4 linked regions of the Diceros bicornis minor genome follow. Each later gene encodes a partner of the first gene's protein in a complex. Links are inferred from orthologs where the notes say so. Each region holds a gene or a part of one and is shown on either strand. Other genes may lie near its edges.

What was found.
Region 2: ACTR2 (region 1) and ARPC1B share a complex: the UniProt entries of both Homo sapiens proteins name them as parts of the arp2/3 complex. The link is inferred for Diceros bicornis minor from reciprocal best matches to the Homo sapiens genes ACTR2 and ARPC1B.
Region 3: ACTR2 (region 1) and ARPC2 share a complex: the UniProt entries of both Homo sapiens proteins name them as parts of the arp2/3 complex. The link is inferred for Diceros bicornis minor from reciprocal best matches to the Homo sapiens genes ACTR2 and ARPC2.
Region 4: the proteins of ACTR2 (region 1) and ARPC4 are in contact, whole or in part, in a cryo-EM structure (PDB 6YW6), measured with the Homo sapiens proteins. The link is inferred for Diceros bicornis minor from reciprocal best matches to the Homo sapiens genes ACTR2 and ARPC4. Residues at the interface, in NP_005713.1 of Homo sapiens: Tyr222, Val223, Tyr225, Gln229, Glu230, Lys232, Leu233, Ala234, Leu235, Glu236, Thr237, Thr238, Val239, Lys253, Thr308, Met309, Tyr310, Pro311, Gly312, Pro314, Ser315, Asp346; in NP_005709.1 of Homo sapiens: Val29, Val30, Glu31, Arg32, His33, Lys35, Pro36, Glu39, Val40, Ala98, Glu99, Asn100, Phe102, Ile103, Leu104, Arg105, Arg106, Lys107, Leu117, Thr119.

The regions. Positions count from the first base shown.
Region 1 is NC_080751.1:22,559,989-22,566,888, forward strand, and holds the start of ACTR2 (actin-related protein 2), read right to left. Parts: upstream 3,016-6,900; 5' UTR 2,940-3,015; coding exon 2,892-2,939; intron 1-2,891. UniProt on the Homo sapiens protein: ATP-binding component of the Arp2/3 complex, a multiprotein complex that mediates actin polymerization upon stimulation by nucleation-promoting factor (NPF).
Region 2 is NC_080765.1:7,312,773-7,320,367, forward strand, and holds the start of ARPC1B (actin-related protein 2/3 complex subunit 1B), read right to left. Parts: upstream 3,021-7,595; 5' UTR 2,926-3,020; intron 1-2,925. UniProt on the Homo sapiens protein: Component of the Arp2/3 complex, a multiprotein complex that mediates actin polymerization upon stimulation by nucleation-promoting factor (NPF).
Region 3 is NC_080776.1:8,672,846-8,679,960, reverse strand, and holds the start of ARPC2 (actin-related protein 2/3 complex subunit 2), read right to left. Parts: upstream 3,022-7,115; 5' UTR 2,927-3,021; intron 2,715-2,926; 5' UTR 2,707-2,714; coding exon 2,633-2,706; intron 1-2,632. UniProt on the Homo sapiens protein: Actin-binding component of the Arp2/3 complex, a multiprotein complex that mediates actin polymerization upon stimulation by nucleation-promoting factor (NPF).
Region 4 is NC_080741.1:82,754,635-82,761,898, forward strand, and holds the start of ARPC4 (actin-related protein 2/3 complex subunit 4), read left to right. Parts: upstream 1-4,253; 5' UTR 4,254-4,448; coding exon 4,449-4,451; intron 4,452-7,264. Other genes in the region: TADA3 (transcriptional adapter 3), read right to left, coding at 751-856, 977-1,227, 2,603-2,809. UniProt on the Homo sapiens protein: Actin-binding component of the Arp2/3 complex, a multiprotein complex that mediates actin polymerization upon stimulation by nucleation-promoting factor (NPF).

The sequences.
Region 1 (6,900 bases):
GGGCCTGGGCTCAACTCTTGAAAAGCACCTAAACCTAAGGAGACCTTCAGATTTTCATCTATCTGGCCACTTTCAGTGGCTATTTTACGGAGTAGGTTTGAACAATTACGAAGATGAAGCACATAAATTACTGGAATAGGATGACTTTCCCTCCTGTAGGCTGCTCTAACGAGACACTGCTCTAGTTGGGGGCTAGTGAGAAGAGAAGCAGGATCAACATCTGGCATGTGATCATAAGATCTCACCTACTCTTAGAGCATTCGACTTAGGGCCTGCCAGAGGAGTTTAAAAAATCATCAACTTCTCAAACTGCCTGTAATTTTAAGACCTAAAATGTGTAAGAGACAAGTTGCTTTAGGGCAACAACTAATCCCACAAGTTTTTAGAAATTAAATTTGAATATCTTCTTTAATATTTCATTGTAAAGGAATCACTATACCTTCAGGTAACTAAATAAAATCAGGATGACTATGAAGTATAAGCAGTAAGAAATAGAATATAGACTCTAAATGGTTCCTAATCCTCTAAATTTTCAGAAATATCACAGCATCCTGATTACGTATTATATCAGAGCTCTTTCTTCATTTGAAGTCGATCGTGTCTATAGAAAATCTGGATAAAATTTAAAGACAACTAGAAATGTAACACCAAATACATTTTTGTTTGAATTAACTACATTTTTTCTATTTATGTCATAGTAACTGATCCCTTGTCTTAAGGAACAAGATTCTTAAATTATGGATTAGACATGAGACTAACCAATAATACACAATCAGCTTTCAACACAGCTAAAATAATAAAATAGTAACATAAAAATGAGCTCATGGTTAACAGTCCTATTCTAAGTGAATATTGAAAAGCTCATTATACTACAAATACAGGGTTCATTACCATTCAAAAAAGAAGAATCCAATAAAATATAGCTGGCTCAGATTTCTAAAGAGAATACCTGACAAAACAAAATATTAGCAAAATAAAATATTTTAAATTCAATTTTTAAAGCTTTAAATTTATTTAGAAGTCAATTTGGAACTTAAATTCTTTAAAAAGCACCTTTAACTGAGTTTTAACTGTAAAAGTAATACACATTTATAGTTTCTTTAGTTTAAAGATAGCTTAATACATGTTTTGCTAAAAAACAAAACAAAGAACATTTTTCCAATAATTCGGAAGTCATGAAGTCCTTCCTATCTTCCCTCACTTCCTATTCCTAGTCTCACAGGTAACCATATGAACATTCCTTACGCATCCCTCCAAAACTTTCATATACAGATACAAGTTTGCATACATATAAATATCTTTTAATACAGAAAACACACATAAATAGGCTCATTCTAAAATTTTTTTTAAGTTAAGACATGTTTCCATAGCAGTGAATCTGCCTTTTTTAAGTATTCTATTTTGTATGGATGTCCCATTATAACACTCTTCTTACTCTTGTTCATTTTTAACTTAGTTCAGAAAGCTAGTATAATTATTGCTTGTAAAAATCTCTAATAAATTCAATCAAGGGAAGTATTATGGTAGTGAATATTAGCTTTTTTTTCCCCCTCAACAATCCAGTTTCCGAAGTGTTTTAAAGTTCAAGTAAAATCTATTTTAATTCATATGTCACATTTATGGAAGGCAGGGGAGAAAAGTCACACAATATGCAACTCCAAAACGGTTCGACATTACTGTAATGAAGGGGAAATGATCACTACAGAACTCATCCAAAATAAATAACATTTCCGTCTTTTAATCTGCTGACTTTGCTGCCCAAAATACATTTTTTTTTTTTTTGTGAGGAGATCAGCCCTGAGCTAACATCCGCCAATCCTCCTCCTTTTTTTTTTTTTTTTTTTTTGCTGAGGAAGACGGCCCTGGGCTAACATCGGTGCCCATCTTCCTCCACTTTATATGGGACGCCGCCACAGCATGGCCCACCAAGCAGTGCGTCGGTGCGCGCCCGTGATCCGAACCAGCGAACCCCGGGCCGCCGCAGCGGAGCGCGCGCACTTAACCGCTTGCGCCACCGGGCCGGCCCCTCAAAATACATTTTTTAAAGGGGGTGGGCGTTTGAGATAACTTTCAAATAATTTCTAAAAAAGTGTTTTACTCAGATTTTTACAATTATTTGCATTTTAGAATCTTAGTGCACCTAAGGAAAAAAAGGAAGGGGGGAGACCAAAACTGATTACCTTCCCCCAAGGTCAGTGGAATTAACCCTTCGGCCTTGCGGGGTCCTAGATCTCCCAAGATCATTCAATGGAACATGCTGGTCTCTGCGGGGCTGCCCCTGGGCCAAATTCCCAGCGCGCAGAACAAAAAGTAAATGATGTGCTGCTATCTAGCCTCCCCTTCTCTCAAAAAAAAAAAAACCACACACAACATAACCCTCTAACACTGCGAAAGGGCTGAGGCTCATTGCATGACAGCACTTCCCTTTTTTTCTTTAAACTCGTTTCCTGCCTCTCGTTCGCTACCTTCAACTATACAGGAAGAAGAAGGCCTCTAGGTCTTTCTCCGTTTCACACACCAGCGACCGTGGGGAACAGAGCCCTTCTCGAACACACAAACCCAGCCTTTTACCCCTCCGGCCCTTTAGCCAAATTGTCCCCGCTGGAGCGCGGAGCCGACCCTGCCGGGCAGCAGGTGACATGCCCACCCAGCGCCGGCCTCGCCCGCCGCCCTGACCCAGAAGGCGGCCGGGGTGGGAGGCTCCGGGAGACCTGAGCCGGACCGGGCCCGCCAACTCCCCACGCCCGTGGGGGCAGGCAGCGCTGGCCCGCGCCCCTTCATCCCGCCGGCCCGAGGGCCCAGGGGTGCAGCCCCGGACGCCGAGGGCCCGCGCGCCCCCCGCACATCCCCGCCGGGCCTGTGGCCGCCGCGGCTCCCCGCCGGGCGCTTACCCCAGTGCCGTTGTCGCACACCACCACCTTCCTGCCCTGGCTGTCCATCGTCCGCCCGGAAGAGAGCCGCCACCACCGCCGAACAACCTACAGCCGCCGCCGCCGCCCGGCCCTTTCCTCTTCCTCTTCCTCCGCGCTCGCGGCCCCTCCCTCGTCCCAACTTTCTCCCCCCAACCGGAAGTCTCCTCCGCCCCCCCCCCCGCCATTTGACTGACGGCCTATGCGGAAGATGTGGGGACAGGTGGGAGGAGGCCGAGACTGGCAGCGGTGAGCTCCTATAAGAAACGGAGAAGCGCCAAGGCCCCGCCCACAGCTCCATTCCGGCTCCAGCCCCACAGTCACCGACGCCGCCCACCCGGGATTCTTCCTCTCAGCGTTTTGTTCCCCGGGCTTCGCCGGGCGTTGATGGCAGTCAACCTGGAGGGTGTTGCGACTTTCTCCCTCAGGCGTGTCTGGAATTGAGGGCGCCTCTCATCCTGCTGCAGAAGGCGCAGGCAGGTGAAGGACACCGGGTCTGTGGCGAGATGGCAATGGAATGTGGCGGAAAAGCCAGCCGTGTGGGGAAGCAAACCTGGAGGTGCTTGCCCATCCCACGGTTGAACATGGCTTGGTGTGCTCTTGCTTTCTAGGCCTTTTCAGTGGACAGAGCCTTAATGGATACACCCACACACACATATTTGAAATCATGCATTTATACCGATACCTCCAATTCCAGCCCAACTCTTCTTTGCCCAAATTGTCTTTAGTCAAGTGAATGAGAGTGGGTGCCTACATTTCCAGCCTTATAACTCACCACTTTCCTCTTCCAGCAGCACCGTGTGGCTTCACACCTCTTAAGTATATGTACCCATTTGAACCTAGAGCCTCGGCTTTGAAATAGACAACCCCAGTTTCAAATCTGGCCCTGCTACTCAAGAGTTTTGTTGATTTGGGCATATCCTTGTCTGTGCATGGGTGTAATAACCTCTACTTCCGTGGGTGGTTGTGAGGATAAAATTCTGTGCATAGAGTAAGCATCCATTCACTGGTAGCTATTTATTATTAATTCCATATTTTTAAATGTGCAGTTCCATCTGTGATGCCCCTACCTTTTTTCTTTTTAATCAATTGGGAGACTTCGACTGGTGCTCTAAGACCCAGTTGTCACTCTCTGAAGACTTTGCTGATAACCCTCAAGATGCTCTTTACTCTCTTCCTTTGTTATTACTTTACAATGGATATATGAATAACATTATTGTGCTTGTTAAACTCAACAAATATTTATGGATGAATGACATTAAAATTCATCTAGAAAAAAATGCCATCCTTTTCGAGAGGTGAGAACTAGAATTGTGCCTTCCACATGGCTGTACATGTACAATGACTAGAATAAAACTTGGATTATGAACCCCCCATTCAGTATTATAATACTAGGCTGCCTCTCCGTTTTCACTTAGTTCTTGTATTAGACCAGTGGTTTTCAAACCTTTATAAAGGCATAGAATGCTTTATTCAAATTTAATCTTATATGGAACCCCAACATATAAAATAGATCAAAGTAAAGCTGCCATAGTGGTAGTTGGAAGTTTGAGAGGTTAGGATGGGAAGGAAGCCTCAGGGAACTATGTCTTCCCCAACCCTGCTTCAATAGTCGTCGAGGTTCTTCAGAAGCCTGCTGAACTGTGTATTAGTTCATAAATTATATATCTTATTTTTGTGACCCCAGTGCCTAGCACTGTGCAGTTTTCCTGGAAGCACATTTAATTGGTCTCAGCAAATTGAACGCAAGCATTTCTATGTCCTTTTACTTTTCCTCTTTATGAAATTAAATGGATTACTGATTTTTACTTTTTTTTTTTTTTTTTGTGAGGAAGATCAGCCCTGAGCTAACATCCATGCTAATCCTCCTCTTTTTGCTGAGGAAGACCGGCCCTGAGCTAACATCTATTGCCAATCCTCCTCCTTTTTTTCCCCCTTTTTCCCACCAAAGCCCCAATAGATAGTTGTATGTCATAGTCGCACATCCTTCTAGTTGCTGTACGTGGGACGCCGCCTCAGCATGGCCGGACAAGCAGTGCGTTGGTGCGCGCCCAGGATCCGAACCCGGGCCACCAGCAGTGGAGCAGGCTCACCTAACCACTAAGCCACGGGGCCGGACCCTGATTTTTACTTTTTAAGAATAACATTTGTTGTTTTCTTCTGATTGTAAAAACAATACATGCAGATGATAGAAAATAGCAAACATCTATTCACTACACAAATGAAAATGTAGCAAAACTCCTTGATTATGCAAATTCAGATATAATACTATTGGTGAATGGTTCCTGCCATTTACACCAGGTGAATCCTGGCATTTTACTTTCCTCAAAATACTGTGCCCACCCCCCCACCCCACCCCCGATTTTACGTAATTGAATTTTTCAGGAGGGGGGCTTCATTTCTAGCCTTCAGTTGAGAGTTTACGTACGTTATTCCACACAAAAATCTTGCCAGATAGATATCCCCATTTTACACATGAGAAATGGGGGATTTAACAAAAATTAAGTCTAGCAAAGTCATAGGATATAAGATCTACATACAGATATCAGTGTATTTATATATGCTATCAGTGAACAATCTCAAAATGAAATTAGGAAAACAATTCCATTCACAAGAGCATCATAAAAATCTGAATAAATTTAATGAAAGTAATGTAAGACCTATACACTGAAAACTATAAAACATTGTTGAGAGAAACCAAAGATCTAGATAAATAAACATACCATATTCAAGGATTGAACACTTACTGTTAAGATGATAGTTCTCTCCAAATTTATCTATACATTCAATGTAGTCTCTATCAAAACTCCAGCAGGCTTTCTTCTTTTTAGAAATTGACAAGTTTGATCCTAAAATGTATATGGAAATGCAAAGGAACCAGAATAGCCAAACAATTTTGAAAAAGAAAAGCAAAGGTGGTGGGCTTCTATTATCTGATTTCAAAACATATTATAAAGCTACAGTAATGAAGACAGTGTGGCATTGGCATAAGGATAGACATATAGATCAACGGAACAGAATAGATAGACCAGAAATAAACCCTTACATTTATGGTCAATTGATTTTCAACAAATATGCTAAAACAATTCAATAGGGAAAGGGTAATGTTTTTAACAAATAGTGCTGGGACAATTAAATATCCATGCATGGTGGGAGAGAAGAACTTTGATCCTTACCTCGCACCATACATAAAAATTAATTCAAATGGATCATAGACCTAAATATAAAAGAGCTAAAACTTTATAAATTCTGGAAGAAAACAGGAGAAAAACCTTTTGATGTTATGGTAAGCAAAGATTGCTTAGTTATGACACCAAAATCATGATCCATAAAAAAAAAAATCAATAAATTGGACTTAATAGAAATTTAAAACTTTTTTTTTTTTTTTTTTTGTGAGGAGATCAGCCCTGAGCTAACATCCGCCAATCCTCCTCTTTTTTTGCTGAGGAAGACGGCCCTGGGCTAACATCTGTGCCTATCTTCCTCCACTTTATATGGGACGCCGCCACAGCATGGCTTACCAAGCAGTGCGTCGGTGCGCACCCGGGATCCGAACCAGCGAACCCCGGGCCGCCGCAGCGGAGCGCGCGCACTTAACCGCTTGCGCCACCGGGCCGGCCCCTTAAAACTTTTAATTTAGGTATTAAGAAAACAAAAAGACAAGCACAGACTAGGAGAAAATATTTGCAAATCATATATCCAACAAAGGACTTGTATCCAGAATAAGAACACATAATAATAATGAGACAAATTACCTAATTTAAAAGTGGGCAAAGGGCCAGCCCCGTGGCTTAGCAGTTAAGTGCGCACACTCCGCTACCGGTGGCCCTGGGTTCGGATCCCGGGCGCACACCAAGCACCGCTTGTCCGGCCATGCTGAGGCCGTGTCCCACATACAGCAACTAGAAGGATGTACAACTATGACATACAACTATCTACTGGGGCTTTGGGGGAAAAAAAAAAAGGAGGAGGATTGGCAATAGATGTTAGC
Region 2 (7,595 bases), on another chromosome or scaffold:
GTGGAGAGAGGGGCAGGACAAGGCCTCCGGGACACCCACCCACTTGTCACCACGGTCCTGTGAGCCAGCACCATGGGCCCATTTGACTGCTGAGGACAGAGAGGAGGGGGCCCTGGGGATCATGTTAGGATCATGCTCTGTGCCCCCATAACCCGGAAACAGAGTGAGACTGGGGGAGGGGAGGGGCCAAATCCCGACAGACTCCCCTGCTGGCTCCAAGCCACCCCCCACCAGCCTGGAGCCAGGATCTCTCTGTGCTCCCAGGAGCACTTCCCTGGCGTCAGGCACACAGTGGGTGCTTGGAATGAATGGACCAGGACCGCTTGGGGCTGGGGTGCAAGGGGACAGAGAAGGGCAGCATGATGGCTGGGAGGGGGTTTGGGTTTCCATCTGGGAGTGCCATAGACCATGCACTGGGATGTGGATGTCAGCTCCATGGGGGCAAGGGTGTTTGTTTTGTTCACTGAAGCATCCCCAGCACCAATCAGAGGGCCTGGCACACAGTAGGCAATCAAGTAATAGTTCTGGAATGATGCTGAACGAATGAATCACATCCTTTTTGCTGGGTCTGTCTTAGGAATACGCAGGATTGCTTCAGTGACGCATGTATGCAATTTGTAAATATCTCCCGGGGAGTATGTGCACCAATTTTTTTCCCTGATAGGGTCAATGATTAGAAAACCTGCAATCTAGAGGGTCCTCTCTGAGGATTCGAGGAGAATACAGCTCCCCTCCTCAGCAAAGCAAGCCAGGCGAGGCCTTGGGCTGCCCCGCCAAGGGCCTCAGACCTCAGTGCTCCTTCTTACAGTGCCGGGTTCAAGTTCTGGCTCTCTCCATACTGGCCGGGCGCCCTTGGCCACCACTTCCCTCACATCTCCATCCAGAAAAGGCTGGAGTTGGACAGGGCACTGGCTGTAGGTTTGTTCTTGCTTTGAAAGAAGCTCTGCCAGTGTTCTCTGAACGCAGAGGCTTGGCTGAATTTGAGGCTAAACCAGGCAGGAGCAGCCTGGAGCAAGGATCTCTGGCTCTACAGACACTCAGGGAAGTCCCCACCCAGCTCAGAGGCTGAGCCAGCAAGCCAGTCTGCACGCGTGCTAAGCAGTTACTCAACTTCCTGTTGTGTGCAGAGCAGCCCTTGCCACCCCAAACAGACCAGCCAATCCTCCTCCCCAACTCTGCTCTTAAAGGCTTACAAAACAGGCAAAGTCAAGTCAAGAGACATAAATGAAAACAATCCCAAGGCACCATAAAGCACCAGTGAAAGTAATCCAAACAAAACAACACCCAAAAACATAAAACTCAATGCTGGCAGGGCTGTGGAGAAATTCTCATTTGTTGCTAATTTGTGCAGCCTTTCTGAAGAGCAATGTGATAACTCTCAATTCAACAACTGGGTAGGAACAAGCAGAACAGAATAACACGAACAGGAACTTAAAAACTGTTAACACTCTTTGGTTGCATAAATTCATTTCGGTGCTAAGAGCCACTTTTTTTTTTTTAAAAAACAAACATGTTCATAATAACTGTTTATAGTGGTGACAGGGTGGAAAAATCCAGATGACAACAAATATGGAAAAAGTAACTAGTGACATTAACATGCTGGGATACTATTTAACTATTAGAAAAGACCTATGTGGATTATATACAAATCCATATGTAATGAACTAACCCTACTGGCATTTTAAATGCCTAGGATTTACCCAGGACTTGGACATTCTCTCTTTTCCCTGCTAAAGCAAACCTAGGAAGTTTTTTGCTTTGTGTTTTTTTCAACCTTCATTTGTACAGACGGAAAGTGAGACTCAGACAAAAGCCAAGATTTGCTCAAAGTCACACAGCTCCTAAATGGCACAGCTTGGATTCTGACCCGAAATACGGGAGTTTAGGTTCACCTGGGCACTTTGTTAAATGAGGGCAGGCCTTACAATGACAGCGACAACACTAATAGCACACACTCACAGTGTGTGCCTGGCACACTGCCAAGTGTCTTACATTACCACATTTAAGCCTCACAACTTGAAAGGTCCCCATTTTCCAGATAAGGAAAGTTGAGGCCCAGAGAGGTTAGGTGGCTTGCTAAGGTCATCAGCTGGTGGAGGAAGAAGCTGGCGCTCTTACCTAGGGCCCTGAGACCTGAAGGGCGATGGGTGTTCTTAACCACGAGGGAGCACCGCCCGCCAGGCGGGAGGAGCCCGGGGACAGCCTCCAGCCCGGCGTCCCGCACCGCACCAGGCTCGCTCCCGGGGCTCCCGCCGGTGGTGGGTGTACGACTGTCCCCGCCCCAGCCCTGGACAGGCCGGCTGCTCTCCTGCGCCGCAGGCGAGGGAGGGGCCGCTCGGGGCCAGCGCCCGGGAGCTCAGAAGCGCCCGTCCCGGGGCCCCCGGCCGCCCCCTCCCTGCACGGACCCCTCGGACCCGGCCCGGGGCGGGAGGCGGGCGGGGGGAGGGGAGGGGGGAGGCGGTGGCCGCGGAGGGAGGGCGGGGGCGCCAGCTCATTTCCCGGCTGGAGAACCCGGAAGGCTGGAGGGTGGGGAAGTGACTGGGTGTGGGGCTTTCGCGGCCCGAAATAACGGGGGACACCGGCCGCGGGGCAGAGTCGGGATGTGAGGGCCGGAGAGGGGACAGGGAGAGGGGCCGGGGGTGGGGGCCGCCTCGAGGGCGCCGGGACCCCTGCGCGTCCCTCGCCCGGAGGCCACCGCCCACCCTCGGCGCGGCCGCCACCTGCGCCCACTGGTCCCCGCACCTCCAGGCGACGCCCCGTGCCCCCACCCCCATATCTCCTGGCAGCCCCCGCGCACTCGCCACCTGCATGCGACCCTCTCACCGCCAGGCACCCCCTCACCCCCGCCTCCCCCTCCGTCCCCCCAGCTCCAGGCGCCCCCTCCCGCGCCCCTTCACATCCCCGCATCCCCCCGCGCCCCCTCACCTCGGGGCGCCCCGGCCGCGGACTCTGGGCAGTCGACGCGCCGAACCGGCTCTGGGCCCCGCGCGGCGCCGCAGCCACTTCCTCGTGGGCGGGGGGCGGGGCCTCCCAGCCAGGCCCCCGGGGACCGGGGCGGGGACCAGGGGCAGCGGTCGGGAGACCCAAGGCCCCGCCCACCCCTCCGGGTTTGCGGGCTGCACAGACCCAAGGCGCGCAGAAATCGTCCACGACCACTCCGCACTACTTTATGGACGGGGAAACTGAGGCTCAGAGAGGGGTGCACAGCCTGAGCAGCAGCTGGGCGGGGACCGGGAGCCTGGCAGGGCGCGTGTCCACCCCCCACCCCCCACCGAGAGTGGACAGCGCCGGACGGGAGGGCGGTGTCGTCTGAGCCGGACCGCGGGGACGGCGGACTCTGCGCTCATACGCTGGCGACTGAGCAACTTAGCGAACCTCTGCAGGCCTCGGACCCCGGCCGCGCGGGAACCATCTCTTCGTTCGCAAACTGATACCCGCCAGGCGCTAAAAGTGCAAACCCGGTGCAGGCAGTAAGGCGTGGCCAAGGCAGCCCGCCCCGCCCGCCCCGCCCTGGATCCTCACTACAAAACCAGGATGCTGGCCCGGCCAGGCATGCACGCTGGCCGCCCCGCTGATTCTGGCTGGCCCAGCACGTTCTCTCAGTGCTGCCTTCTCGGCCCTCTACTCCACCGCGGTCACCTTCACTCCTTTAAGTTACCTGGCTGCTTGCAGCCACTTGAATTTGGGTCTTGGGCCAGGTGGCCGCGGGTGTCTTTCCATCCCTACCCTCTGCCTCATCAATGGAGATGTGGCCAAGTGGCCTGGCAGATGGAGGAGACCCTGGTGAAAACCCTGCACCCTCTCAATTCATCAGGCCCCTCTCCCTAGGAGGCCAGGACTTCTGATGATGATGGAGGGGAAAGAAGCCCCTCTGGGTGAGGTGCGTGAATCTGAACAGGGAAGTGTAACAGCCACAAAGGAAGCCAGACGACAAGGTTAGAGCGCAGATGGAGAGAATCCCAGAGAAATGACCAGAGCCCAGGTCAACCTCTGACCAGTCAGCCTGAGCACAATCTGCCTCCAGAGGTTTCGGATACGTGTGCTAAGGAACCTACTTTACTTTTGAAGCTGGTTCGAGTTGAGTTTTTCTGTTAGTCTCAGTAAAGCATCCTGACCAATGTGCTCACCTGGGGACTCGCTTTTCTCGGTGAAAACTGAAGTGAAGCAAGTTGATTGATGAAAAGACGATGCAGAAGCTTAGGGCGAGCAAACTCTTTTACTGTTTGCTCTGCTTTCCCCTGAGCCTAGAGCAGCGCGTGTGGCATATAGCAAGCCCTCAGTGTGCATCTGTTGAATGAATGAGTGAGTGAATGAATGAATGGTGGTGGTAGAACATGTACCCAACCCTGGCTCTGCCACTTAACCCCGCAGTATAACTTCAGGCAAGTCCTTCGTCCTGCGTGCCTCAGTTTCCGCAGCTGTAAAGCGAGGCTGACTCATAACAAGCGCTGCCCGCCCCCCCTCACAGGCCTGCGGTCATTATGGGAAGACCCAATGGATGGAAAGCACACCTTAGACCGGGAAGCCATGGGGGATGTTCTTTGAAATGGCTCCCTTGGGGGACAAAGTTTTTAAACCTTAAGTGAAACAACTCCTTGGGTGAGGGGAGCTTGGGGGTGGAAGAATTTCTTTTGGAGTGCTGAGAACAACTTGGAGAGCTTTGTTGCTTCCTGGAATCTGCCTCCCCTGGTGCCCTGGGATGAAGATGCTACACTCCCCCTTCTTTCCGCCTTCTCAGGTTTCCAAGAAATGCAGCCACACACCCAGGCAGACTCTGCAGGGCTGGCTGACCTGGAGGAGGGCAGTCAGTAGTAGTCAGGGGGCTGGTCGCGTCTCCAGGTCACGAGGTTCTTTCCAGCTTTCTGCTCCTTCCTCCTCACTGCACTGCCTTACTGCCTCCTGGTCACAAGATGGCAGCCAAACTCCAGGCATCTGGCCTAGGAAGTGGTGCACTGGCCAAGGCAGCAGGAGACCAGGGAGGAAAGCTTCATCTTCTTCTGTCTCAGCATGTTCCCACCAAGAACGGGGACCATGGGTCTCTCTCCCTGGGATCAAGGGATTGCCACCTGATCCCTGTGAGCAGGAGGGAAGAGGGGAAACCCTTGGGCCTCCTTCCCTGGGCCACACATATTTGTAAGGTGGCCAAAGCCCGGGAAGGGGTCCACCATAGCTGAGGCCAGGAACTTGTGTCCTGCTCCAGGAGGCAGTCTTCTGATGGGGGCAGTGTTCTGAGGCACACCCCGTTCCAAGCCACATGGCTTTATGTGTCAGTTCACTGAGAAATTCAGGTCTACAACGAAACCCCATAGGGTACTGTCAGAGGGGTCCCCTCCCATCAGTTCCAATGACATCTCTCTGCTCCCAAGCTTGGGCAAACTGAACTGGGCTTGGTCACTACGCACCTCCACTCCCTGCCCTCCCCCAGTAGGGAGGAGACTTAGCGGTTAGCGCTGGGGCTCTGGAGAGACTGCCACGGTTCCAACGGAGGCTGTCACTTCCCTCTCTGGACTTGAGTTTTGTCATCTTTAAAATGTGGCAAAGTTCCAACACTATAGAGTTGTTGTGAGTAGCTGAGGCCTATCAATTGCTCACCAGGGTGCCTGGCGGTTAGCTGTTCTCACGGTAACGTATCCAAGGCAGGGCTAAAGCACCCCTCCTCATGAGCCCCCTCAGGTGACTGACTTTACGTTAGTGGCTTTCAAACTTTTGATCACAACTCACAGTGATATGTCTACTGCGACCTAGTACACATCCCCACATATATCTGAAACATAAGCATCTTGAAACAACACTTACTACAGGCAATGCAAAATCTGTTCTTTTCTCTTCTGTGTCATTTTCAAATTGACTTTTACAACCATTAACGGGGTCTGACCCTCAATTTGAAAAACTCTGCTCTAGACTATACTTCCCCTCCTTTCTGAACTGACCTAGTGTGTTAGTTTCCTATCACTGCGGTAGCAACTTACTACAAACAGGGTGGCTTATTCTCTTACGGTTCTGGAGGTCAGAAGCCCACAGTCAGTCTCAGCGGGCAGGGTGGTGTTCCTTCTGGAAGCTCCGGGGAAACTTGTTTGCTTGCCTTTTCCAGCTTTTAGCACACCTGCATTCCTTGGCTCCGGGGCCTTGTGACACTCCAACCTGTTATGTCACATCCCTCACTCTCCTACCTCCCTCTTACAAGGATCCTTGTGACAATACTGGGCTCACCTGGACAACCTAGAGTACTCCCCATCTCAAGATCTTTGACTTAATCACATCTGCAAAGTTCACAGGTTCTGGGGATTACGACATGGACATCTTTGGGGGGCATTACTCTATCTACCACATCTAGTATTTGAATTATACACACACACATAACTTAAATAACATAACCTTATAATGTCCGTACTGATCTGTACTGACCAGTCCACATGGGGACTACCTGGGCCACCCTGGGCCTTCACATCACCACCTCCAGGGTTGGGCACACATGGGAACTAGACCACTTGTGTGGTGATTGTTGGGCCAAACTGAAAAGTCCTGCCTAAGCAATTAATCTGGGTTCTGAGGCTGACCCGTTTTCTAGCATAATATTCTGGAAAGAACTACTGAAGTTTTTTTGGTTACCAACATACTTCATACACTTCTTCCCACCTGAGCCCACTGTTATTAAGGGTCTCCGGGGACTACTATACGGCCAGTGTCAAGCCTGAAAGCAAACCTCGGCTTTCATGAGTATCTAAGAGGAATTACTAATCCTGTATCATGCCCATTTTACAGGTGAGGAGACTGAGGCACAGAGATGTTAACTATATCACTCAAGGTCACACAACTTGGCAGAACTATAATCTGACACCAAAGCATCGAATCAAAGGGCTTTGACCAGTGTGTCGTGGCATAGTCAGGGTCACTGAGAACCCCTCCAAATTGGCAGTCACTGTGCACCCAGGCCTTACCTGAGTCTCAAAGGTAGGGCGAGAGGAGGAGGGAGCTTCGGCAATCTCACAGGCCCCAGCACTGCAGCACAGCACTGAGGGTTCCTGGGTGCCATGACCGGGATGGGCACTCTTCCATGAGTGAGAAATGGCCCAAGTTAAAACAAGAAAAAAGACAACTGTGACTATTAAGTCCTTGGAGGGAAAGTTAGTAAATTTTGTTTTTTGTTGCTGTTGTTTCTTTCATGGAATACATTGTTTCTCTAAAAACCTCTGGGCTTGCTGGCCAAACCATGTGATTTATTGAAACTAAAAAGAAACCTTTACCTTTAGCTAATTCCTGGTTTGGGGCTGGCTTTCGTCTGTCCTCTGTGACCACAGCCTTGCTGATGCACTGGTGCAGACATATATGCACAAAGCAGCTCCTGCCAGTGGGGCGCAGCGAGGATGCTATAGCAACAGGGGAGAGGCAGGCCTGCCACGCTGGCACCCCAGGTGCTGGGATTCACTCCTGGAGGGAAGTAAGGCTTCCCATGTGTCACCAAAAGGGCAAAATTACTCTTGAGGATATCATGACATCCTTTGAGAAGCACTGTTACCAGTGTCCTAAAACTAGAGTTGTGATCCAATCACTACTCTCCTTCTCCTGGGCCAGTGAGGTCAAGACACGGCCACGGG
Region 3 (7,115 bases), on another chromosome or scaffold:
AGAACTTTGTTCTACATCGGCACTCTCCAAATACGGCAGCTACTAGCACATGTGGCAACTGGGCACTAGAACTGTGGCTAGTGTGACTGAGGAACCTAATTTTACTTCACTTTAATTAATTCTTATTTCAACTTAACTAGCCACATGTAGCCACTGGCTATCATACTGGACTTTGCAGAGTTGGAAGACTCACTCTGCAAAAGGCTGCTCGGATCCATAACTTCCCCAATTGCTTTGCTCTGAGAAATGTAGGGCTGGGTGGAGCTGACTCCTCCCAGCAGGTCCCCACACAGGCAGAGCCTTTCAGATCTCCAGGGTTTCTCCTCCAAGCTACTCTTACTTGAATGTCTTTTTCTGATCTCTACCCCAACACATCTCATCCCTTATCTCCCCTCTAACTTTGCCAATAGGCTCGCTCAGGAAGCCCCTCTTTTTCTGTTCCTGCCTGGTGCTGAGCACTGGCAGAATCCCATAAATGTTGATGATTATCATACTAGTTATCCTTTGCTGGAAGTTCTGGCGTAGGTATGTGCCTTGATAAATACTTAACTACTTCACTGCTGCCTCACCTTACTTAATGGATGCCTGGAAAGTCACACTGGGCTTGGAAGAAGGCTTCTGCGGGTGTTATATTTGCAATCCCAAGAAAGCCCTACCTCCTAGGCTGGCTATCATGGTCTCTTTTCAAAGATTTTCAAAGTGCTTTTCAGCAGAATATGTTCTGAGCCCACTTATTTAAAGTCACATCTCAAAGGGAAGATGGGCCAGAATAAAAGCCAAAGCTTGCTGCCCTGCCCCCACAGCCAACATTGCTGTAACACAGAGCTTGTAAGAAATGTCCTAGAAGTTCTAATGTATGCCTTCCAGACTTGAGTGCCTACTTTAATTCCTCTGAAATGGTTAGTTGCTCTTTTTAAGAGTAATCTTCTAAAAGGAAAAGAGCTGAAGTTCTAAATAAGGGGCGACACTTTGGAATCACAAGTTATTAATACACAGATGTGAACATACTCCTCAAACCAGGCATGCTTCTCCTTGAAAACGCACAGGCATTTATCTCGTAGATCAGCTTATAACCACTCGGGTCTCATTCTTTGCTAGTCTGGACTTGAGAATGCACTTAACATCAGCTGTGAAAATGCAGAAGTTAATTTAACTTCCTCCTGTGTGCTACACTGCTCAAAAAAGTACACGGCAATCACCCAAAATAAGACTCTGAGCTGATTCGCTCGAACATTTAAAATGTAAAGGAACTGGGAAGCGAGGCTGAAGACGGACGAGAAGCAAGTTAGCCTAAAATATAAGCGAGTGCAGCCCCTGGCAGGAAACAGTAGCTACTGCTCACTGCATGCAATGCTTCAAGGAAAGTCCTGCTTTGTTTTAGATACAATCTGTGGCCTCATAAAAGAGACAGGAGATACAATATGCTCAATTCAAGCAGTGGGTTAGAAGTATTTTTTTTTTAAATGCCTCCAAGCCACAAGTTCATTATGACCACTTAGAATTTCCCCTCCACCGATCCTCTCCCATTGGTGGATCTCCAAGCACTTCCTTTCCTGTTCTTAGTTTCCAGCTCACCAGAAACAGTTCACACTTATTTCCCCAACTGTGCAACCAAGATGTGAAGCCCCATCCTCACAGAGGGGGAAATGAGGCAAAGGAACCGGCTGCAGGCCACCAAAAATCAGAAGCTAAAACCAATTCCTCGGCTCACGTTTTAAATATTATATTAGAAACGCAAAGCAGCTCTAGAGGAGGAGGTTGGCTTTTATTCATTCTTGTGTTTGACAGAGAAGGCTGCCTTGGAAATATGTCTTAGGCCAACAGTAAAAAATGGTTATCTAAGAACTTTATAGACTTTGCAGGTTTTTAAGTGTATACCTGGGCCCGGACTACCACGGAAGAAATCACAGAGCAGGGGTCCAGTATAAGAATTTAAAAGATAACCAGATAAAGGCCAATGGGTGGGGAGAGGAGAATTAGAACCTCAGAACAGAGATAAGGAAGGGGTGTGGATGGGGAGACCACTAGCTCTGCGTGAGAAATATGTAACAAAATGGCTAGTGTGCCTCTCACGGGAGGGCTCAGGGAAGGGAAAGGGGAGAGATCGCGTCTTTCTCGCTGCAAGACCGGGTCTGCTTTCAGTCTTCCCTCCCGCTCCTGGAGACGAGGAGGTGGGGGTGGGGAGCAAGGAGGCCGGTGGTGACCTGGGCCTGCATCTTCCGCCCTCCTCCAGGCCTGGGCATTCCTGAAAACTCCTTCCACCCCAATCCCAAACGGGCTCCCTTCGGGATCAGAACAATGCCGGGGAACAGAGAGGACAGCGGGCTCCTCCAGCGAGGGTGCCGGCCCCAGATGCCCTCGCGTCCCACAGGTCTCCGGCCCTCCTTCAGCACGCGCACTCCTGTCCACTCCCCGCTTCCGCATCCCCGCTCCGAGCCTCGCCCCGTGCATCTCTGCCCCTCACCCCACCGCGCCCCATCGCCTCCCACGTCTACTCCGCCGGGGCAGTGCCCGCACGCGGCCGGGCCCCCTGTCCCTCTCCGCCAAGTGTGGGGGCGGCACGACACTGGGCGGCAGCAGCGGGGGTCAGCTCTACCTCCTCCGCCACCCACCGCCCCGGGCGCGCGCTCACCCGGCGGCCGCGTTCTCGAACTTGAGCGCGAGCGTCTCCTCGATGATGCGGTTGTTCACCTCCAGCAGGATCATGGCGGCGGCTGCCCCGGGCAGGGGAAGGAGAAACAAGGGCAGGTGAGGGTGGGGAAGGGGGGAAGGACGGAGGGAGCGCCCCGCTGGCCCCTGAGGAGGGGCTGGGTGGGGTGAGAGGTTAGGGGAGAAGGGGACAGGGACCGGGGTGGGAGGAAGGGGAGGACGCGCGCGCTGGCCCGCGCACGCCCTGACTGTGGAGACACCCACCCACCCGACCGACCTGGCCCCCGAAGCCTGAACCCGCCTGCCGAGCCGCCGCCGCCGCCGCTGCCGCCTCACCGACAAGCCCGGTCCCCGCCCAGCCCCCGGCTCCAGCCGGCCACTTCCGCTCTCACACCCACTTCCGCTCGCCGCCCGGACGCGCGGCCCCGCGGCGCCATTTCCGCTCCGACCCCTCGTGCACGCGCACGCAGGCGCGCCAAGGGGGCACGGAGGCTGCGCTTGCGCATGCGCGGTGCCGCCACCTCGCCTCCACTTTCCCACAGACCCCCTGACGTCCTGCGCTTGCAAGTGTGCCTGTCCGGCGAGCGTCCTTCCCCAGGGCCTGCCTCACTGTCCAGCGCCTCCCTCCCGCTCGTCCCAGAGGTCCAGCTTCACCCTTCCGGCCTTGCCATTTCAGAGACCCCCGCTCTTGTCATCGCCCAGCCGGCTTCTTTGCTCTCAGCTTGTTGGTTGTGGGTGTGCCCGTGCCTCTTGCCACACTAGTGGCTGTCCGGCGGCACCGTCACGCCCTCATTTCTCCAAAAAATATGTAGTGGGCTCCTGCTCTGTGCTGAGGATACAGTGGTGCATGAAATAGACGAGGCCCTGCCCTCGTGGAGCTTATAGTCTGGTAAAGGAAACTGACCACAAACTCGCAAGTAGTAACTACAAATTGTTAAAAGGGCAGTGACGGGAAGGAGCGAGAAGTCACCTAGGTGAAGGGGCCTGCGGGGTTCCTGTCGTGCCTCCATTTCTGAGCCTGGGGAGCTGCCTCTAGATGCCCCGAACGTGATGTCTCTGCTTTTGAAACCCTTCCAGGACCTCTGCCAGAGACGTACCTTCTTCCTCAACTGCGTGCAGAATCTGAACTCGTTTTTGTGCTACATTCGCACCTTCTGCCTGTGTGTCTTGTGATACTGGCCATGGATAAGCTTCAAGACATTGCAGATCCCCCGAAATTATACGCTAACATTTTAACATTATTGTTTACTGAACTAAAGTAACGCGGATACGTAGTTTAAAAATACATGTACTAAAAGGCTTGTAGTGAAAAAAGCAGGTCCCTGGCCTTAGAGGCAATGTCCTCAACTCTTTTACGTATTCATCCGGATTAGATCCATATATCTAAATAAATGCTTATACTACTAATTCTTGATTTGTTAATTTTAAGGATTATCTGTTGACTTCCTGCTGTAATAGATAAGAACATGACTCTATCAGCTGTGGAATTGGTGCATTTTACAAGGTTGAAATCATGGCAGGTCCAGAAACTGATGCCCAATTCCATTTCACTGGTATCAAAAAATATTTCAACTCTTATACTCTCACAGGTAGAATGAATTGTGTACTGGCCACATAGGGAAGCATTGCTTTCAGGGTCTTATACTTCAGGTTAAGGTCTAAAAAATCTTCAGCTGTGAAAGCGACATAAATGGATTCTAAACTGTACCTTGTCTGTTAAGTTTCCATGCCTGAGAAGCTAATGTCAACTCATCATGTGATACTCCATTTATACAATAAATTATGAACCTAGGAAAAAAAAAAAAAAGAGAACATGACTATCCCTTCTGTTTCTTGCCTCCACATAGTTATGTAACAGTTTTTGGTTAAACCAATAATCAGCGTTTAAATTATTATGTATGCAAGTATTGTTTACCAGTGAGCCAAGAAGTGCACCACAACCATGCCTTCTAGCTTATACAGCTGTTCATTTTTCTTAGAGTTAATTATTGCCTTTTTTCTCTCACTTGTCAATTTTCTATATTTTCCTACAGTTGGCTGCCTCCTACCCCACAGGTGCTCTAAGACTGTCCAAGACTCTAGCAATATTTTCCATATACCCAAATACACAAGTTCCACTTTTTCTCTAGAGTCTTTGTTCCAGAGCCTTCCTTCCTCTTGTTTCAATCTGGATTGACTGTGCTCTAGACTTACTGTATGGTTGTCATTCTGGGATTTTCCTTTGTTGCTGTTCTAGGCTGTTTTTGCCCATTTCCTGGATCCCATGTCTTCCTCTTTCTTGATTTTCTTCCTTGTTTTGCTAAAGCACCTCCTCTAGTAACTTCCTAAGAAGGGAGATAGAAGATATGTTGTTGAAAGCTTTATATATTTTAAAATATCTGAATTCTATTCTAACACTTGATTTGTAGTTGGGCTGGTTATTGAATTCAAGTTTGAAAATAATTTTGCCTCATAATTTTGAAGATATTATTCCATTTTCTTCTACCTTTCAGGGTTGCTGTTTAAAAAGTCTAACTCTTATTCATATTCCTGATCCTTTGTATGTTACATCATCTCCATCTCTGGAAGTGTTAGGATTTTCTCTTTATTTTCTCTTTAGATTGTTTGTTGGAAATTTTATAATGATGTGCTTTGCTGTGACTCAACTTTTTTGTACTGAGCACTCGTTCAAAGTGGAAACTCATGTACTTCAGTTTTGTGGAAAATTTTCTTTGATTTTTTTTTGATAACTTCTCCATTTTCTTTCTTCTCTTTCTGGAATGCCTATTCTTTAAAAGTTAGATTTCTAGATCGATCCTTTAATTTTCCCTTCTACTTTCTGTTTCTTTGGGGTTTTTGGTTATTTTATTTTTAATTGTGGTAAAATATACATAACATAGAATCGGTCATCTTAACCATTTTGTAGTGTACAATTCAGTAGCATCAAGTATATTCATGCTGTTGTGCAACCAATCTTCAACCATTTGAAGTTTCAGTTTCTTGAAGACCTTTTTCTCCCCAGCTGAATCCTCCCCATATTATTCTATCCTTGTTTTATATATCTTCTCTCTGAGGATGGTATAGTGTGTTTGTTTTTAGTTTTTCTTCTGCTCTCTGCTTTGATCTGTTTCTTTGAGTCCTTTTTTATACTAATTTGTTTTGGTCTCTCTCTTTTATGTTAATGGCCATCCTTAAACGTCTGGCTACTTTAGCAGTCTGCTCGTATTTAAAGATGAGACTGTAACAAGCTGAGTGGAGGCTGAGTGTGGGCGAGATGAGTTGACTAGCGTCTTGCTACTCGAAAGGGACCAGCAGCACTGGCTTCATTTGGGAGCTTTTTGGAAATGCAGAATCTCAGGCCCCACTATAAACCACAGATTTAGAACCTGCAGTTCAACAAGCTTACCAGGTGATTCAAATGCACGTTATGTTCGGAGAAGGGCTGGATTAGTGGGCTGCACTATAACAGGCACCAATGATGTGCCAGACTTCATTGGGGGCCCACAGATGTCAATATTCGGAGGTCTTTTCTCCAGGGACAAACCCTCTGGTTGTGTTTGCAGCTTGTAAGCTTGGCTGTGAGTGTTCCCAGAGTGTGTGGGGGCGGGCAAGAATGCTTTGAGTGCCTGCTGACTTCTACTGAATCCCGTTATCAGCCCTCTGCCTCCCCACTGCCTTCCACTGGCTGGAGTCTATAGAAAATGACTCTCCCGTGGTGGAGATGGAGGAAGGGGTAGAAACGGGATGGGTCTGGTGAGAAAGAGGATAATCACTCGACTGCTTGGGGACCTAGAACACCAAAGGCTTTTTATGCAGATTTTTACCCAATCTTCCCATTTTCTTCATCTTGCTTTTGGTTTATTTAAACTCATGACTAACAGAACAACGATCTTTGTACCCACCACCCAGCTTTCTTGAATCTTAACATTTTATAATTAAACTTTCTTCAGAGCTTTTTGAAAAAGAAACGCAGTTGAAACTTCCTGTGAACCTCACCCAATTCCATTCTTTCTCTCCTTCCTTCCCCTCCTCAGCAAAGGCAACCATCACCCTGCATTTGGTGTTTATCCTTCCCACGCATGTTTTTACACTTTTGCTACATATGCATGTACCCATAAACAATGTATAGCATATTTTGTATGATTTTAAGCTTTTTGTTAATAGTATCATACTCTATTATCTCCTTTTGAAACTTGTTTCTTTTAATCAACAATATGTTTTTGAGATTTACCCATGTTGTTACATGTAGCTATTTTAACTGTGATGTAGCATTCCAATATATGATTATACATTATGATTATTAATATATTTATCCATTCTCCTGTTGAAGGACACTAAAGTTCTTTTCCCATGTTTTTGCCATTACAAGCAAAACTTTGTAATAGCAAAATGTACAGGTGTGAAGGTTTTTTTAGGGTATGTTCCTAGGAGTTTCCTGTGTACAGGTGTGAAGGTTTTTTTAGGGTATGTTCCTAAGAATGTAACTG
Region 4 (7,264 bases), on another chromosome or scaffold:
GGCTGGGCCACCACAGACTGAGACACTTGGACTCAATCCTGTGGGTAATGGGAGCCAAGGGAGGCCTGGGAGCAGGGCCATGTCATGAGCACATCTGATCATGACAGCTGACGAATGGGACAGTACCCCCCCCCCCAACACTCTTCTATGTTTTCTACATTTTCTTTAATGGAATCTGTTTTATTTTCATCATAAAAAAAGTAAACTTTTATTTATTTATTTATTTTTTGAGGAAGATCAGCCCTGAGCTAACACCCATGCCCATCTTCCTCTACTTTATATGGGACACTGCCACAGCATAGCTTGACAAGCGGTGCATCAGTGCGTGCCCGGGATCCGAAGCTGGGAACCCCAGGCCACCGAAGTGGAGCGCACGCACTTAACCGCTGCACCACTGGGCCGGCCCCCAAACTTTTAATATTTAAAGATTCTCTGGAGGCTGGCAAAGTGTTAAGAGGCCGTGTGGGTAAACAGCCAATGAAGGCTTAAAGCAAAGCAGAGGAGATGGAGATGAGGGGACAAGGGAGGACCTCACTGAAGTAGATGCCTTAGGACAGGTGGCCATTTGGATGGGGTAAAGGGGAGAAAGCTGAAAGTTAGAGCCTTGGTGGCTGGGTGGGGTAATGGGGCAGACAGGAGACTGGGCAGGGTAGGGGAAGGAAGATGATATATGGCTTTGGGGTCTTTGATTCTGAGGCAACTCTGGGCCTCTTGTTCTCCATCCTGTCTATTGAGGCCCAGGGTCTCTACCTTGTAATGTTCAGCCTCGTCTTCTGGGGGTTTTAGTAGCTCCTCTAGCGTGCGCACCTCCTCGCTGGTGATATCTGCACAGTAGGGCTCCACCGAAGCCCAGAACCTGCAGAGAGAAGCAGATCCTGAGTGAGCGCCCCTCTGCCACACCAGCCTCAGCCCCAGGCCCCTCCAGGGCCTCCAATGCCCAAATCTTGAGGCCCCTCTGTGGTCTCTGGCCCAGAACCTGTTAGGGGCATCATTCTTGGGGATCCGTGGCACGTCGATTGGGTCATCAGTGAATTCATATTCCTGGATCTTGGGCTGAAGGTTTTTGGATTTGGGCCGTCCGGGGCCAGGGCCTGGCCCATGTCCTGCCTTCCCTTCCAGTTTCTGCTTCTTGGGCTTCCCATGTTTGGGGGGAGCTCCAAGTTCATGGTCTCGACCCAGCTTCAAGAATCGTCGGTCACCTTTCTTATCCTGCCAATCAGTGAGGATCTGAAATTCACAGAGACTGTCACTGAGGGAGAGAAGGGAAGACACAGGACAACTCCTTCTTCCAGTGAAAACTCAGGATCTACAACTCCAAGAGGCCCCATAGCCTTCCCCTATCCCCTTTTTATTTAGCAAATTCCCACTCATCCTTTAAAACTCAGCTCCTTTTCTGTGTGCATCTCACAGGACTTTATTCATATACTTCTCATCATTCCATTCATTGTTTGTCTATACTGATTCAGCTCTGTAGCACCCAAGCCAGTCACATAGTGTTTAGCAGAAAAGTCAAATGAATGATCACACCCCAGTGCATGTTAGCCCTGGGAAAATATGCTGGTCATAACTTTTTGGTGAAGGCAAATAAGCCTCCCAGCAAACCTTCACTTCAAATGTCACAACTGAGAAGTCTTCTCTGCATCAGTTACCCAGCTTCCTAGATGCTAAAATACAACTGACTGTGCCACAGACCTGCTCAAAAAGCTTCAGTGGATTCCCAAGGACCACAAGTTAATTTTATTCATCTTCTGAGGCCCAGTTGAAATGGCATCTTCTTCCTCTATGAGTCTGTGGTACTTCATACCTCTATTGTAGGCCCAATCGTGTTGTTTGGTCTCACTGGAATGAACAGAGAACCTTGTCTCTTCAACTAGATTATAAGCTACTAGAGACCAAGAAGTTCATCTGAACCATCTCTGTTCCCCAGGGTCTGGCAGAGCACCTGACACACAGAGCTCAGAAGATGTTTATGCTATGAACAGAAATAATCATAGTAATACCAATAAATAACATTTGAAATGCTTACTTAGTGTCAGACATTGGGCTCAGCTTTGCAAAAAAACCCTCTCTTTTAATCCTCACAAAAAGCTCTGAGGTAGGTCCTATTATTCAGCCCACTTTGCAGATAGAGAACTGATACTCAGCGCCAGGAGGTAACTTTCTCAAAGTCACAAAGCTAGGAAACAGCAACACTAGCAGGTGCTCAGGACAGGATTCAAATCCAGGTCTCTCCGTTCCAGGTCCCCCAGGACTCGTAAACGTAACAGCACATCACCTGGTACTTGTCTGACTCCCCTTCCCTTTAGTTGGCAAACTCCCTGAAGGCCAGAATTGTCCTAATTACCTCTCTCTAGACTAGCACAAGACCCAGAACATAATGGGGGGTGGGGGTCAATAAATGCCTACTGAATTAGAAATCCTGTAATTTACGAGGATCACGCATATTCTTGCATATTTTACATGTTACACAAGCCTATTTTCGGTCTCTCTCTCCTCTGCTAAGCTTCTGTAACCCAGGCTTCAGCAGATGGGGTTAACTCAAGGACCCAACCCATAACTTGTCACAGTTCATCCCTGGTGACGCCCCCTCTGGGGGTATCACCTGGGTTTCGGCCTCGAGCACCCGCAGGCGCCGACTGGCAGAGGAAAGCAGGGTCTCAAGCTCCAGCTGCAGAGTATCCAGCTCCTCGATGCCGATGCCATCATCCTCAGAGCGGGCCAGCACTGCCGTGTAGCGGGGACACACCTTCAGGTGGTCCACAGACTTGAAGTCATGGAACTGCAAGGGGCAGTCCTTCAGCTCACTCATGGCCCAGGATATGGGACCCTGTGGAGCTGGAGAGGAAAAGACCATTGATGGGAGATAAAGTGGCACGAGAAAAGCCCAAGGGCTCCTTCTATCCAGGGACAGCCTCAAGGAGAAAGCCAGGCTTCAGTACCCTATTGCCGAGGTTGATGGCACAGCTACTCACAGAGCATCTACTGTGTGCCAAGCTAGGTGCAGACATTTTACCAGCTTCTCATTAAATTCCTCATCCAACCCCATAAGCAGGGACCATGGTGATCTCCATTTTACAGACAAGGCAACGGAGACTCTGTAAGGGTGGGTACATGCCCAACCTTACCAAGATGCAATTTGAATCCAAGTAGTTTTGAGTCCATGCCCCTAACCACCACCATATACTATGCCCTGTCTTTCTGATGTTCTTCTCTTCTGTTCCACTCCTGGGTTGTGCTAAGTCCCTGAGTTGGAAGCATCTCATTCTTATAACGATAATGTTCTCTGTGCCTCTCAGCCTCTCCTTGTCTCACCCCTCCCCACCTTTGCCCCTGACAGCGGTTAAGAATGTGGGCTGGTAAGCCAGACATATCCGGATTGCAGCCCAGGCTTTACTATTCGTTATTTATGTAGTCCTGACCATGTTATTTAACCTTCCTGAGTCTCGGTTTTCCCATTTGTAAAATGAGGACAAAAGAAGCCTGAAGTCTGTTTCCCCATAAGTCTGAATCTGTAAAATGGGGATAACAATAGTACCTACCTCCCCGGGATGTTCTGAGGATTAAGAGATGATGCCCGTCAAGAGCCCAGTTCAGTGCCTGGTACAGAAAAAGTGGGACTGCTTACTGGCTGGCACCACCCCGTGGGTGGCCCCAATGTCTCGCCTTCAATGTCCTCGTCCTCTAGGGACCCCCTAACGCGGCCCCCTCCCCCTCTACCTCCTCACTGCAGCCTACTACGGTCCCCCAGGCCGCGGGAGGCGGCGGGGAGTTCCGGTCTGTCGGAGCAACCGCCCCGGAACTGGCTGTGTGCCGGCCCCTCGCAGTTGACGCGGGGGCGGGGAGACTCGAAGGCGAGCTCACTGTGGCTTGCGGGGGTGGGGGTTGGCGGGCCGGGAACGAGCGCAATGTAGGGGGGTGGGGCGGTATGCCTCGATCGTACCCTAGGGAACAGCCCGGGGCAGGGGGCGGGGCTCGGCAGTCGGGTTCTCCACCCGGTAGTTAGTCCCGCCGAACCCCGGGAGCTGCAGGTAGGCGGGGCTCGCAGGAAGGACGGGGGCACAGAACCGGAAGAAACGAAGGGCTCCTCCACTTCGCCTTGTCCTATTATGGTACTCAACCTGAGGCTGGCTGCACCATTACATGACTATGGGGGAAGAAAGCGGCAAAGACGACGAGAAGGCCAAAGTCACAAGCGAGAGCTGCATGGATAACGGGAGGAGCTTGAGTAGCAAGGTGAAACTTCAGGAGTCTAAAACTACCAAGACAGTCCTGGCGGGAAAACTTCCGAGGGACCAAGTGTTCCTAGGCTCTTTTTCCCCCGCTCGGAGCACAGATGGTACCGTCCGGAAGTCCGGGAGGAGACTGCGGCTGCGCTTCTCGCGAAACGGCAGGCGTCGCGGGGCTGGCCACTTCCGCACTTCCGCTTTCCGGCCCAGCCAGCGCCCGCGATGGTGAGAGAGCCGGACCCCGGGCCAGGGACCCTCGCTGTTCTTCCTCAGGAGTCTGGGTCTGGGGGAGATGCAGCTTTGCAGCGGAGAGGCCCGGGGCCGAGGGATGCTTGGGGATGTGGGGCCACGATGAGGCTGGGAGAAAGAGGGTGGGGCGGGGGCCGAAGTGAGGAAGGGGCGAGCGGGGGACGCCCTCGTAAGCACCAGGCTTTGCGGCTTCGTGGTCTGGCTTTCGAAGCGAGTCGGGAGTACTCCTGAGGCATGGAGGAAACCGGAAGCGGAGCTCCTTAGGCTTGTGGTAGCGCCTCGAAGGCGTGTAGTAGGTCTCGTAGCCCGTAGTAGGGCTGCTGAGGCACGTAGTAGAGCCGCCTCTCCACCCAGAGTAGAACTGCACTAGATACACTGCCCTGTCGTCTCCTGCCCACTTGACCCCGCAGTTTCCCAAGGGAAGCGTCCGCATTTAATTATCCTACTCTTCTTGTTGCCCCCAGCCTTGCTTGTACCTTGCTGAAAGATTTCTTTTATGCCGCCTCCACCCCGTCCCCTTCCTGGTCAGAACTCAATCGTGTCAGCCTTACTGTAGCATGTAAGCTCTGATACTGCTGATCCCTCCCTTCCTGGAAATCCTGCTGTTTGATAAATGTCAGTGTTCCTGGGAGTTGAGACTTTGGCTCAACACCTTCGTCTTCTTTACAGTCTCCCTATTGATAGCTAACTAGTTTTCCGACTTTAATGACCTTGTGTATTCTGGTGACTCCTGAGTCTGCTTTCCTAGGTCTCTTTCAAGGTTTGCCTGGATATCTTGAAGACAGCCTGAAATGAGACCTCCAGGTCAAAAGTCACCTTTTCTCCTAATCGCTCTTCCTGCTATGTCCCTTATTCTGGCTTTGTGTCCTCTTAACCCAGCTAGAAACCTGGGATATTCTTTTTTTCCAATTGAGGCCATGCCTCTTGATTTTTTAAAGATCAAGTTTGTTGAGGTATTACATGAGACTGTGTCTGTTTTATTTGTGAAAGGGCGGGGGTCACTGGGCTGCCCACCTAAAATTCACCCTTTTCAGGTTTACCTTCTGTGAATTTTGACAAATACAGTCATGTAACCACTGTTACCATCAAGATCAAGAATATTTCCATCACCTCAAAAAGTTTCAAATCCCTTTGTAATCAGTCCTCCCTGCCCCTCAAGCAACCACTGATTTTTTTCCCCCTATAGTTTTGTTTTTTCCAGATTGTCATATAAATGGAATTCTTCAGTATGTAGACTTTTTAGTGTGGCTTCTTACCATAGTGCATTTGCAATCCATGCATGTTGTGTGTATCAGTAGTTATTCCTTTTTATCACTGAGTAGTATTTCATTGTATGGATGGACCATAGTTTGTTGGGAGTTGTTTTTGGATTCCATTATGCTGGACAACCCCTGTGATCCCCTCTGTTTGTCCTTTCCACTGCCCCTGTCCAGGCTCTCATCAGCGCTCCTTAAATAGCCCTCTCTGCCTTATGTCTCACTTCCCTCTCCAGTCCATTCTCCACAGAGTCACCATGTAGCTCTAGTCGTGTAACTTCCTCTTCAAAAAGCCCCAGCAGTTCCTTACCATCTTAAAAGAAAAGCTACACTCAGTAGCCTGGCATTTGAGATTCCCCATGAATCTTCAGGCTGCCATTGCAGCCTTATCTGTTGAATCTAAAATGCTTCCCATATACAGCAACAGTGTACTCATTACTGCTTCTGGAACTCTTAATGCCCTTTTATGTAATTCTAACCTTAAGTTCTTTCGTTCATTCGTTCATTCTGCAGAAACTGGGTAAGACATTATATGTTAGGTAGTGACTGAGCTAGGTGCAGCATATGTAGATTTGAATAAAATAGACATGGTCTGTTGACCATGAGGCTTACAGTCTAGGAGTGAAGGAGAAATCACTTTACTAAAGATGTATGAAGGGTGTGTCATTATAAATTATAATAAATGCTATGAAGAGGGAAGTTAAGAAAGGCCTCTTTGGGGAAGGAAGAGGCCTTTCCTGAATAAGCCAAGATCTGAAGGATGACTTAGGCAAAGAGAGGGGAGAAAAGCCTGCAGATTGATGGTTCAGCATGCTTAAAGCCCTCAGGTGAGAAAGAACTTGGCTGATTAAAGGAACTGAAGATAGGCCAGTGTAGCTAGAAGCTGATCTCTCTACTGGGAATGGCCTTATTCTGCTGCTTCTCATTGTAAAATTCACCTAATCCTATTTCTATCTTCAAATCAAAACCAATTTCTTCTGCAGATATAACTTGTAAATCTAATTATTTCACATGTCATCCTTCTTTATATCATAGTTATTTTCTCTGTCTCCTCCTACTTGAGCTGTTTAAGGGTAGAGATGGTCTTAATCATCTTTGAATTTCCGGCACCTAGCTCAGTGCCTGGCATACAGTGGACTTAGCCATTTGTTGGCTCAAAAGACTGATGGAGGATAGTCATTCACCTGTATGCCTCTAGACCAGAGTTTCTCAACTTCAGCACTATTTGGAGCTGAATAATTCTTTGTTGTGTGTTGAGGGATGTTTAGTGGTATGCCTGGACTCTACTCCATGCCAGTAGCACCTCTCCCCCTAAGTCATGACAGTGAAAAATGTCTCGATGTTGCCAAATGTCCGCTGGCAGACAAAATCGTCCCCTTGAGAATCACTGCTCTAGACTTTGAATGAAAGACACTTTGAAGGCCTAGTCTGTTCTGTTCACTGTGTTGTCTGAGAGCTGGGCACCCTCCATACTGCCTGGCTCCTATGTGAGCTGGAGTAGGGGGCCAGTGGCTTTGGTGAGACAGATGCTGA